Lonchura striata: one gene and its partners. The protein of the gene in region 1 purifies or fractionates together with the protein of each later gene. This does not show direct contact. Links are inferred from orthologs where the notes say so. Each region holds a gene or a part of one and is shown in the gene's direction. Other genes may lie near its edges. The genes, in order: SRPK2, DDX46 and C1H1orf35.

Region 1 (3,745 bases):
TGTTCTTTTATGATGGAGGATGGGACACAGAAAATGTTTTAATTTAGAAATGCAGCTGGGTGCCTCATGAGAGCTGCAGTTTAGAAACTTCATGGTCCTATTGTTTTCTGTTCACCAGGCTCTCTAGTTAGACAAAAAAGCATTATACAGTGTAGTGCCTCCTTTTTGGGCTGTCTAGCTTTATGCTTCTGTGGCTCTCTCCCTCCTAAGCTGAACTAACCAGACCTACGGATTCAATTTTCTGTCTAAATGAAATCTCGATCCAATTACTTAAAGACCAGCAATTACTGCTAGTTCCCTTCACTCTCATAATGCCTTGACTATAGCTGCTTTTAGGATCTTCATCCTTACGGATTCCTTGTGTTGCCACTTAGGGAGGCAGTTCTGTCTCAAAATTTAATGACCATACCCCGTTACCTTTCAGTTACCATGCCTTGGAATTCCACTGCCATGTGAAGATAAGCCAGACAAGCCTCACTCTTAGACTGGAGCTTTGGATATGACCCAGATCATAGCGGGCCCCAGGCATTAAGGTATAGATGGCACAAGATTTCAGTCATAACACTGTCAAGCACTGAGCTATGCTGTGCACAGCTGAAGTAAGAAGGGACGGTGTTCACTGGGCCATTGACGGGTCATTACTATGCCAAATCTGAGCAGTGCCTGGTACCATGGGCAACAAGATGCCCTTGGCAGGAAAAAAAACAATTGCCAAGAGTTGTTCGTCATGATAATCAAACAACTTAGTGAGAATCAGAATTAAGGAAATCTAATTTCCCTGGATTTGGCCACGACGATAATTGGTTCTGGCATCTCACCCCACACAGGTTTCGGGACAAGCTAAAGCTGATCTCGTCCCAGCTGCTGCCGTGGAGAGCCCGACTCCTCTCTCCTCTGCCCTTCCCGCAGCTCCCAATGCGGCACGGCAACAGGGCGGATGGCCCCGCTACTCCGGTCACGACCCAAAACTTGGCAAAATTAATTCCCCTTTGGCTCGACCGCCCGACAAAGCCCCACGTCGGCCGCGGGGCCGCTCCCGCCTCAGGCGGGGCCGTCCCGCCTCAGGTGCGCCCGCCCGCCGCCACCTGCCGCGCCCCGCCCCGCCCCGCCCGCGCCTTTCCGGCCGCGGCCCCGCGGCTCGCCCGCGCCTGCGCAGCGGCGGCGGCGCGGGGCGGCGGTGGCGGTGCCGATGCTGCCGGACGGTGCCCGGCGCGCGGTCGCGGCTGGCGGCGGGGCCGGGAGAGGAGCCGGACGCGGGGCCGGGCGCGGGGCCGGGCAGCGGCGCGCCCGCCGAGCAGCGCGCGGCGCGGGGCGATGAACTCGCGCAAAGGTACCGCGCTGTGCCGGGCGGGAGGGCGGGAGCGGGGGGCTGCGCGGCCGCCGCCGCCGCCGCTGCTCACGCCGGGTCCCGGCTATTCTCTTCTCCCGGCAGTGCTGGCCCTGCAGGCCCGCAGGCGGCGGCCCAAGCAGTCCGCGGCGGCTGGCCGGAGGGACAAGCACTCGGCGCCCCACAAAAAGTGAGTACGGGGACCCCCGACCCGCCGGGACGGAGCCTCTCCCCGCGACCCCTCCGTTGTCTGCGCGTCGCTGCCGGCGCCCGTGGCCCCCGCGGGCCGTCCCGGCTGCCCGGTCCCGCCGCCCGCGGGGCACCGGCGGCTCCCCCGCAGGGCACAGCCCCCGCCCGGGCCGGGGGATGTCGCCACGGCCGGGCGGGGACCGTCCCCTGCCCGGGCGCCGGGCTCAGCATCCTTCGGGCAGGGCTGCCGGTGCCCCGTGGGAACCCGCGCCCGGCACTCCGGCCGCCGGCCCTGAGAAACCCCCGGTTTGTCGGGGATCTGCCAGCCCACGTGTTCCTCTTCGTTCTCCCTCCAGTTCTCTCATCTTTTTGATCTCCTTTTCCAGTGCTGTCTATTCCGAGGTTTCTTTCTGTATCGCTGTCCCATCTACAGGCAGTCCTTTTTGCATCCTTCTCGGTACCATCAGACTATTTCCCTTTCCCAGATGTGTCTAATAGCCAACGATGCTGATACTGGTATCTCTTTGGCTTGTTTTAAGTTTCTGTTAATTCTACAGATATAAGAACAGAGGTTGTTCTCTGTTTTCCCCTTGTCTTCTGCAAGCCCTTCATGTTCTTGTCACTGTCTAGTTGATCTTTTCTCATTATACTTTTCACTGAACCACATGGGAACATTCTTCCATCTCTTTAGTGTTTATTACACCTTAGTATTTCCTAGGACAGTGTGGCTTTGGACTGTTTAATTTTTTGTCCTTGAAGGATTCCATGCTTCTGTTACTAACGTTCACTTGTTTTGTTCAGTGGACTTTATTGGTGACTCGTTAAGTTGCCAGTAGGCTCTTGTCTTTGTTTTCATTACTTAGGGATCCAGTCTACCTGCTTTGTTCTGACAAGGAAATACGTCCTGATGTCACTCAATTCCCTCTCTTCCTAGCTGGCTGTTCTTAGAGCTGGGAAGCAGTGCATGGTGGATGGATGGATGGATAGATATGTGGTGGGGGGACATGCTGTTGTGTGCTATGGCAAATGATTCAAGAGGCAAGGTCTTTTTGTGATGTCTGCTGGAAGAAATAATATATCTCTGACTGTGAAGTATTTGATTTGCCTTTTTTTTTTTTGCTAGTTACAATGAATGGGTGCTATTCTCCCCTTTAGGATGGGTAAAAATAGATGAGGTGGAGGTGCTGGTGTAGTGCGATTAGACTTCGACACCTAACTTTGTTCACATCCTGTTCCACTAGTGGTGTTTCCTCCAGCATTGTGTAAAAGCTGTATTATGCTTTCAGTTGTTTGAATTTGGAGTTACTGCAATGGCAACAAATGTTATGTGTAAGATATGCAGGAATTGATTCCCTTGTTTTCAAAAACCTTCAGATTGTAATGTTACGTGCATTTGTCTTTTGCTGGATTGAACATGGAAATAGGTTAAATTTCATTGTAGCTCTAGGTTCAGTGTTATTTTTGAAGCTTTCAGTTAAGTCTTAACCACAAGGTTGTTAATAAACTTCTATTATTAGGTGATAGAGCATTTAATACACTTTTTAGGGGACCTAAGTGGGATGTTTTGCTGAATGAGTTTGTTAAAAGTTTGCTTTCACAGACAATAAGTGCAGAACTGGTAGTCTTTGTGTTTGCTGAAGAAACTGGCTACTGTTAAGTCGGGGTGCACAGTCAGGATCTGGCCATTTGCCTGGCTGAGTTGGCATTTCCAGACGCAATGCTCCAATCCGATCAGTTGCCTTATGAAACAAGTGGTTTTGCTGTAGTTGACAAGAGCCATCTTTTCTCTTCTGATATGTATGTTGTCTCTTCAAACCACTTCTATGCTCTGGAGACAACCTACTTTGTTTCATGCTTGTGTATGAAAGCGAAACTCCTATCAAGTTTTTAAGTCTCCTTGCAAATATTTGAGGCTCCCAAAGTAAAACCAGTGTCTCTTTTGTCCTCTTCCTGGTCTTACTTCAAATTCAACTGCTACAGCATATTCTAGTAGTTTAGAGGTATATGGTACCTGTGATGCACATCAAATGCACAGTATCTGCAAATGAAAATGCTTATTTGAGGGGTGGAGTAAGTTCCCTGTAGTGAACTTGTTCACTACAGGAAAATTGTGACTTAGCCTTGAATCCAAAGCAGTTGTTTTTTTTTCTTAACTGTGGTTCTTAGGAAAACTTTTCTCTGCCAGGTCAAAGCTTTATGGAATAACTTCCATTGTTGCTGTTAACAATG
Region 2 (3,745 bases), on another chromosome or scaffold:
TGCACAGTGAGAGGAAGTGTCATTCCAAATAGTCAATTTAAACACTGATAATCTCTGAAAATCTCTGTTGAAGCGAAATTTGGTAGTGTTTTCAGCTTGTAGTTTTCTTTTTAAAGTCTGGACTTTCAGGTAGTATAGGCTGTTGCCTATTTTTAGCATAGTAAACTACATATTTAACTTGGTATTTGCCTGCAGAGGTTCTTTTAGGGCGCAGATGTGTTTAATTGTATCTCTCTAAATGGCCCAGCTTTCAGTTGATTATTTTTTGTTAAAGCTTCCTCCTGCAATTTTAGTGATGCTTTCTTGACTTTTAAATTAGAGACATGTTTGTGGCCTGAATACAAGAACCTTATGTTTTGATTTGACCATTTTCATGGGGTTTTTTTAAACTGGTTCTGTTATGGTGAGTATTATATTACAGATATAAAGGGCTGGGTTGCAGAAAATTCTGACTTAGGTTTTTCAGCAAAGGTATTGATTCAGCAACTTTAAATTTATTTATATTAGATAGTAATTTCAGAAAACTGAAATTACAGTAATTTAAGATAAAGTTGAGATACATAAATAATGAGTTTACTTAAAAATTACTTGTTCTGATTCTCTATTTATATGCCCAAATGTAATACAAATAAATTGGAAAAATCCCTACACCAGTACCTGTAAAAAGCTATGAATTTTAATCCTCACCATAAATTTTAATCAGATAAATACCCTTGCATGGGCAGAGCACCAGGAGGGGCTTGTGCTTAATTAAGAAACCTCGATGAAGAAACGGCGATCAAGAAACGACCTTAGACCAAGAAACCAATCTCTTTTATTCCGTTTTTAACTTACCTCTGCTGGTGTTCGTAGTTGTGTTTAACGTTTATTGCCGGAGCGATTGTTTTCTATTAAAAGCCTCTCGGTTACCCGCTTCCTCGGCGCTGTGCGCGGCTGGGCCGGGGCGGCGCTGCGCCCTCCGCCCGCCGGGGGGCGCCGGCGCGGCCGGAAGGGGCGGCGCTCCCGGGGCGCGCGCCGCGCGGGCGGGGAATGGCCGCCGCGTAGCGGGAGCGCCGCCGCCATGGGCCGCGAGTCCAGGTGAGGGAGCGGCGCCGCCGCCTCGCCCGCCCGGCGGCCGCGGCGCGCTCGGGGATCGGGCGGCGCGGCGCGGGGAGGCGGCCGTGAGGGGACAACGCGGCGCGGCTTTCCCGGGCGGCGGGCGCGCTGAGGCCGCGCGGCGCTTCGGGCCTGGCTGGGTCCGAGGTGCCACCAGCACCTCCGGCCTTCACGGGTTTGTTCCAAAATGTCATCGTTGCCCACGCAGAGGGGTTAGCTTGATTTGGATGGTTTTGTTCGTGTCTTTTGTGTTTATGGAGCAGTATATTTTGCGCTCTCCCAGTGATGTAAAGCCCTGATTAGGGTTGTAACCAGCTCGGCAGTAATGTGCCCTTGTGCTGCGTGTGACTCGGGCCGAACCTGTGCTCCAGATGATGCGGAGCTGCTCACACCTACCAGGCTTTAAAGCCATTCCACAATTTGCTAGTGCTGTCGGGCATATGCCTCTGTCTCGTAGTTTAATCAGATTTTTATGCTAAAGCTGACATGATAGTCCTCACATGCAGTTCTGCTACACTCTAATAGTTCCCAGGTCCATCACGGAGATTCACCCCAAGAAAGACAGATTACTTGAAATTTTAACAACCATCTTGGGCCCAAATTAGTGATCTATTGCAGAGCTAGGCACTCCCACAAACCTATCTAAATTAGTTCCAGATGAGCTGGGGCAGCAGTGGGTGGTACAGGGCTCTGTTACAGCCTTCTGAATTGAAAACCAGGCTCTGGCACTCCAGCCAGCAGGACTCAGTTGCTTATCACAATATAGCTTCTCTTCTGAAAATGACAGAGTCCTTCTATTTGGGCTAAAAATAATGCTAAAAGTGGGTTTAAACTTGTATTAATTTTCTATTTTAACGTACAAAAAGTTTTAAAAGTGAAGAAATGGTAAGAGAGTGAGAGTGAATGGTGGGTGGAGATGGGTGCATGTGTTAGGGTTGGTGTGAGGAAATGTTCCTCACACTGGGGCTTCTGGAACTTGAAATCATCTTTTTGTCTTTATTGCACACTATAGAGGAAGAAAAAATAAAAACAAAAGTAGTTCTCTAAAACTATAAGATTAGAAAGAGAGGATTTATAGAGCAGATCCCATGCCATTTTGAGATGGAGATGGAAAATCAAACAAAAGTCTCCATGCAGAAGGATGTTCTTTGCAGTCAGTTATCCTGCTGATAGGCAGGAGGATGTGGATATGTGCTACTGTACTAACTCCAAGTGCATGTGCTGCCTAAATATACCACATAACATAGACTAGATATAAATATACTGCTATTTTTAGAGCTGAACTATTTTAATACTACCATGCAAGTGACACAAAGAGTGGGGGGCTTCAAGTCTTGTCTTCTCTGCTTCTTCCTTCTTCTCAAGCATGACTATTGGGCTTGTCAGGAGAAAGGCTCTGTGAGTCTTGAGCCACAGGAGAGTGACAAAGGAATGATTCTGGCATGGTGTCTGAAAATCTGGGATTGGAGGAAGAGGAAATGGTCACAGTCACAGTCCCTCTGTGACTTCTACATTCAGTTGAAGAGTTTCCTAGAAAATTCCTTTCCCTGCTCTGCCCCACAGTGTGGTTAGGATAAGAGCATTAATGAGAGGAGGAAAGCAGACACCCATCTCCCTCACACCCCTCAATCTTGCTGACTTTCGACAGCTTCTGTTGTGATATTTGATATTACAGAATTTCTATTAATGTCAGCATGGTAAAGGCATTGACCACAGGTGTGTTACTTCCTTGAGGGTTTATGTTTCTTTAATTCCAGTCTGACAGCTTTCCCACTGAGCAGAAGTATAGTTCACCTACCTTATATGGGTAAACATTTATTGCATAAAAAGTAACAAAGAGCAGTTTTGTTTGTCTGAAAGGTTTTGAGATAGTTTCAAAGAGCCTTCAGATTTTCCTATATATTAAATGGAAATCAGTGGATTTCTGAAAAGGAAATTGTTCTTGATGTTCTGGTGTTCTCATGTGCTTATAATAATACTCTAAAACTAAAAGAAAAATAATGAGCAAATAATCCTTCTAATTTCAGCATCATTAAGAGTGTATATGTATATTATACATACAGTATGTATATTAATCAGTTTGCCAAGATGATTGGAGAAGTTTAGACATTTAAGAAGCCCAAGAATTTCAGATAATTATTCTGCCTGCTGCACATGGTTCTGGTGCTCACTCTGACCGTGCCCGCAGGCATTACCGGAAGCGCTCTGCGTCCCGGGGGCGCTCCGGGAGCCGTTCCCGGAGCCGTTCCCCGTCGGACAAGAGGAAGCGCGAGGACAGGCGCTCCCGGAGCCGGGACCGGGACCGCAGGCGGGAGAGGTCGCGCAGCAGGGACAAGAGAAGGTCTCGCTCGCGGGACAGGAAGCGTCAAAGGTACGACGGCAGCTCCAGTCAAGGCACTAAAAGTGCCTGTCCGCTGAATATTGATGTTCTCCCACTCCAGCTAGTTACTTTGCTGATGCCTGTGGTGGATTTCACAATGCTTAAGGCTTTTTCCTTATTTAATGCTTTCTGGCTTGCTGGTGCTGGAGTTTGTAAGTTCTTAGCGGTCTTGATGGTTGGTGGGTTCCTTTTATAACCTGTTCCTCAATAGAAGCATAAAGTTATGCTCTGAGTATATCCTAAGTAAAGACAATTTTGTTGCATGTCAGA
Region 3 (3,745 bases), on another chromosome or scaffold:
ATGCCTGGTCCCAGGGCTTCACACCGTGTCCCTGGGATCTCGCACTGTGTCCCAAGGGGTCATGCCTGCTCCCAGAGCTCCAGGCTGTGTCCCTGGAGTCTCACATTGTGTCCCAGGGGGTCACACCCTGTCCCTGGGATCTCACACCGTGTCCCAGGGGTCATACCCAGTCCCAGGGCTCCATGCCGTGTCCCAAGGGGTCATGTCCCGTCCCTGGGATCTCACACTGTGTTCCTGGGGTCATACCCTGTCCCAGGGCTCCACACCATGTCCCTGGGGAATCTCACACCGTGTCCCAGGGGTCATGCCTGCTCCCAGGGCTCCACACCGTGTCCCTGGGATCTCACACTGTCCCTAGGGAATCTCACACCATGTCCCAGGGGTCATGCCTGCTCCCAGGGCTCCACACCATGTCCCTAGGGAATCTCACACCGTGTCCCAAGGGGTCATGCCCGGTCCCAGGGCTCCATGCCGTGTCCCTGGGATCTCACGCCACGTCCTAGAGGTGTCACACACTGTGTCCCCGTGGTCTCGCCCCATGTCCCCCGTGTCCCCAGATGCCCCTGGACAGCAACACGCTGCCCGAAGCCGAGCGCAAGGCTCGTCTGCGCCGCCACTTCCCCAGCAAGCCTAAGGCCAAGCAGGAGGAAACCTTCGAGGGCATCGACCTGGACACCTACAAGAAGTTCTGGAAGAAGTGAAGCGCTGAACCCAGAATTGTATCAATCTATAAATAAAACCACACAGTAATAAAATGAAAACACAGCCGTGTGTGGGCGGTGCGGCTCTGCGGGGCTCCCCCCGCGCTGGGCCGCGCGGTGGTACGGCCCGTCGGCCCCCCCGCGGCCGTGCCCGCGGTGGTAGCGGCGGGGCGGGCCGCGCGCGGCGGCCGGAGGTGCGTGAGGGGAGCGCGGTGCGGTTCGGGAGATTCGGGATTTGGGGGAGTTTTGGGATTTGGGGGCTCCGTGTGTGAGCCTGCGGGTCCGGCACTCCCGGTCCTCGCACTGCCCAGCCCGGAGAGGCGCGGGCTGCAGGGAGCCGCCCCGAGCTGCCTCCGCACGCCTCGGGGACGGGCAAGTTCCCACTTCAGGCCCTGCAGCGTCCAGGTCCTGCAGCTTCCCCCGGCCCTGAACCCCTTCCCAGCCCCGGAAACTCTGCCCCAGGTAATGTCCCAGCCCGGGCCCTGCAGCCTCTTCTCGGGATGTGCAACCTCTCATGCAGGCCATCGCCCCTTCTCCCAGCTCTGACCCATCCAGGCTCTGATCCCTCTCCCAGCTCTCATCCCCTCCAGGCCATCGCCCCCTCTCCCAGCTCTCATCCCATCCAGGCCATCACCCCCTCTCCCGGCTCTGATCCCATCCAGGCTCTGACCCCTTCTCCCAGCTCTCATCCCACCCAGAGCATCACCCTCTCTTCCACCTCTCATCCCCTCCAGGCCGTCGCCCCCTCTCCGAACTCTCATCCCACCCAGGGCATCACACCCTCTCCCAGCTCTGATCCCATCCAGGCTCTGATCCCCTCTCCCAGCACTCATCCCATCCAGGCCATCACCTCCTCGCCCACCTCTCATCCCACCCAGGGCATCACCCCCTCTCCCAGCTCTGATCCCATCCAGGCCGTGACCCCTTCTCCCAGGACTCATCCCATTCAGGCCATCACCTCCTCTCCCACCTCTCATCCCATCCAGGGTATCACCCCCTCTCCCAGCTCTCATCCCACCCAGGCAGGCTGTGACCCCCTCTTCCACCTCTCATCCCATCCAGGCTGTGACCCCCCTCTCCCAGCTCTGATCCCATCCAGGCTGTGACCCTTTCCTAGACCCTGAACCCCCCATCCAGCCCATGAACCCTCCCCCTTGACGCCCAGAATCCCCATGAGGGCATTAAACTTCTCCACTAGCCCTGCAGCCTCCTCCCAGACCCAGAGCCTTCCCACTTACAGTCCTGAACTCTCCTCCTGCAGGCTGAGCCCCCGAGCTCTGCAAGCAGACCCTGAAACCCCCAGGCTGTGACTGCCCCGCTGCCGGCCCTAAACCCTGCTGGAGGCTCTGAACCTCACCCAAACTCTGAACCCCCCAAGGCCACGGACCCCCTTGGGGCTGCTCTGAGCCCCAGCAACCTCCCCCAGGCTGGGACCCTCCCCAAGCCGTGCACCCCCTCCCACCTCCAGGTTATGAACCCCCTTTCCAGCCTGTAACACCCCACACCTTTGTGTAACCCCCTTTGCTTACTCCACTGACCCCTGGGGGGGCTGAATTTGCTTCCCTGCACCTTCAGGAGCCCCCCCAGAGCTGCATGGGGGATCTGAAGTGGATGAAGGCAGGGCTGATCTCTTTGCAGGTCACCGGGATCCCCCGAATCCGCTGCGGGGTGCGGCGCCATGTTCGGCTCCTCCCGGGGCGGGGTCCGGGGGGGCCAGGACCAGTTCAGCTGGGAGGATGTCAAGACAGACAAACAGCGTGAGAATTACCTGGGTAAGGGCTGATACTGCCCCAATCCCTGTCCCCTCTGCCACGGTTTTGGGGTGCGATGATGCTGACTGGGGGGGGGTCATTGTTCCCCACAGGGAACTCCCTGATGGCGCCGGTGGGGCGGTGGCAGAAGGGCAAGGACCTGACCTGGTATGCCAAGGGCAAGAAGGACACGGGCCCCCCGTTATCCCGGGAGGAAGAGCTGGCTGCCGTCCGCCTGGCTGAGCAGGAGGCCATGATGGCAGCACTGTGAGTCCACACCCCACAAAACCCCAAAAAACAGCAGGTGCCTGTCCCCACACGTATCACCTGTTCTTGGTTTTACAGGGGCTACAAGAGCTTGAAGAGGCAGCCCATGGGCCTCAGCAAAGAGGTAAGAGGGGCACCACACATCCCCCCAGTGTCCCCTGGGCTCTAATTTTGGGGACACACACAGGACACTGTCCCCTCTCCCCACAGGACCTGGCTGAGGTGTGCAAGAGGGACGGTGCCGAGCGGGACGAGAAGGACGTGGATCGGGTGGTGGGTTTGGGCAGCTCCAGGTAAGGAGAGAGGGAAGGGTCCCACACCAATTTCAGAACCATTTGTTGGATTTCAGTGTTTTTATGCTTTTATCTGTGGTGTCTCTGCAGTGGCAGCGCTGGCCGGGTGATGCTCTCCAAGGAGGACAGGGAGGCGGCCAAGCTGGGGCTCTCGGTCTTCACGGTACGGTGCCAGTCACATTGTCCTTGGAAGGTTCAAAAATAGATTGGAAAAAGGCAAAAAGCAGTGCCCCTCACTTGGAATATTTTATTTAAAATATTACCTGGGTATTGTAGCACAGAAACCTGCAGGAGTTTCCTCTGTCCTGTTGGCACAGAGATCATCTGTGGGGCTTTAATTTGGAAGAAGCTCTTAAGGGTATTCTAATTTTTCCCCAAATGTAATTTCAATTTTTTTTTCCAAGCTTAATTTTTAAAGGGAGAAAAACCCTTTCTCTTATAATTACAAGCTGTGGGCTCATGGATTCACTCTGTATTTTTCCCCCTCTCCAATTCTAGCACCAGAAAGTCTCCAGCAGCCCAGAGACATCTGTCTCCAAGAAGCAGGAAAAGGAGGAGAAGGTGGAGGAGGAGCGGTGAGGATTTTTCCCACTTTGGTGGGAAACCACCAGAAATGCCCTGACTTTTATAGGAAATATTTTACAAAATGTTTCCATGGCTCTGTTTGGCACTGGGCTTGTTTTGCATCTCTATGAATCAGCCTGAAAAGCCTCTGTGGGCTTCTCTTTGGCAG

Evidence for each region.
Region 2: the proteins of SRPK2 (region 1) and DDX46 purify together in Homo sapiens (affinity purification with mass spectrometry; 4 studies listed by BioGRID and IntAct, with this or other methods). This does not show direct contact. The link is inferred for Lonchura striata from reciprocal best matches to the Homo sapiens genes SRPK2 and DDX46.
Region 3: the proteins of SRPK2 (region 1) and C1H1orf35 purify together in Homo sapiens (affinity purification with mass spectrometry; 3 studies listed by BioGRID and IntAct, with this or other methods). This does not show direct contact. The link is inferred for Lonchura striata from reciprocal best matches to the Homo sapiens genes SRPK2 and C1orf35.

The regions. Positions count from the first base shown.
Region 1 is NC_134607.1:59,975,666-59,979,410, forward strand, and holds the start of SRPK2 (SRSF protein kinase 2), read left to right. Parts: upstream 1-1,299; 5' UTR 1,300-1,314; coding exon 1,315-1,330; intron 1,331-1,432; coding exon 1,433-1,517; intron 1,518-3,745. UniProt on the Homo sapiens protein: Serine/arginine-rich protein-specific kinase which specifically phosphorylates its substrates at serine residues located in regions rich in arginine/serine dipeptides, known as RS domains and is involved in the phosphorylation of SR splicing factors and the regulation of splicing.
Region 2 is NC_134617.1:9,331,947-9,335,691, reverse strand, and holds the start of DDX46 (putative ATP-dependent RNA helicase DDX46), read left to right. Parts: upstream 1-982; 5' UTR 983-1,060; coding exon 1,061-1,077; intron 1,078-3,283; coding exon 3,284-3,466; intron 3,467-3,744; coding exon 3,745-3,745. UniProt on the Homo sapiens protein: Component of the 17S U2 SnRNP complex of the spliceosome, a large ribonucleoprotein complex that removes introns from transcribed pre-mRNAs.
Region 3 is NC_134603.1:154,855,216-154,858,960, forward strand, and holds the start of C1H1orf35 (multiple myeloma tumor-associated protein 2), read left to right. Parts: upstream 1-847; 5' UTR 848-895; intron 896-910; exon of another isoform or gene 911-1,163; intron 1,164-2,339; 5' UTR 2,340-2,379; coding exon 2,380-2,473; intron 2,474-2,565; coding exon 2,566-2,719; intron 2,720-2,797; coding exon 2,798-2,843; intron 2,844-2,929; coding exon 2,930-3,012; intron 3,013-3,102; coding exon 3,103-3,175; intron 3,176-3,510; coding exon 3,511-3,587; intron 3,588-3,745. Other genes in the region: MRPL55 (large ribosomal subunit protein mL55), read left to right, coding at 558-701.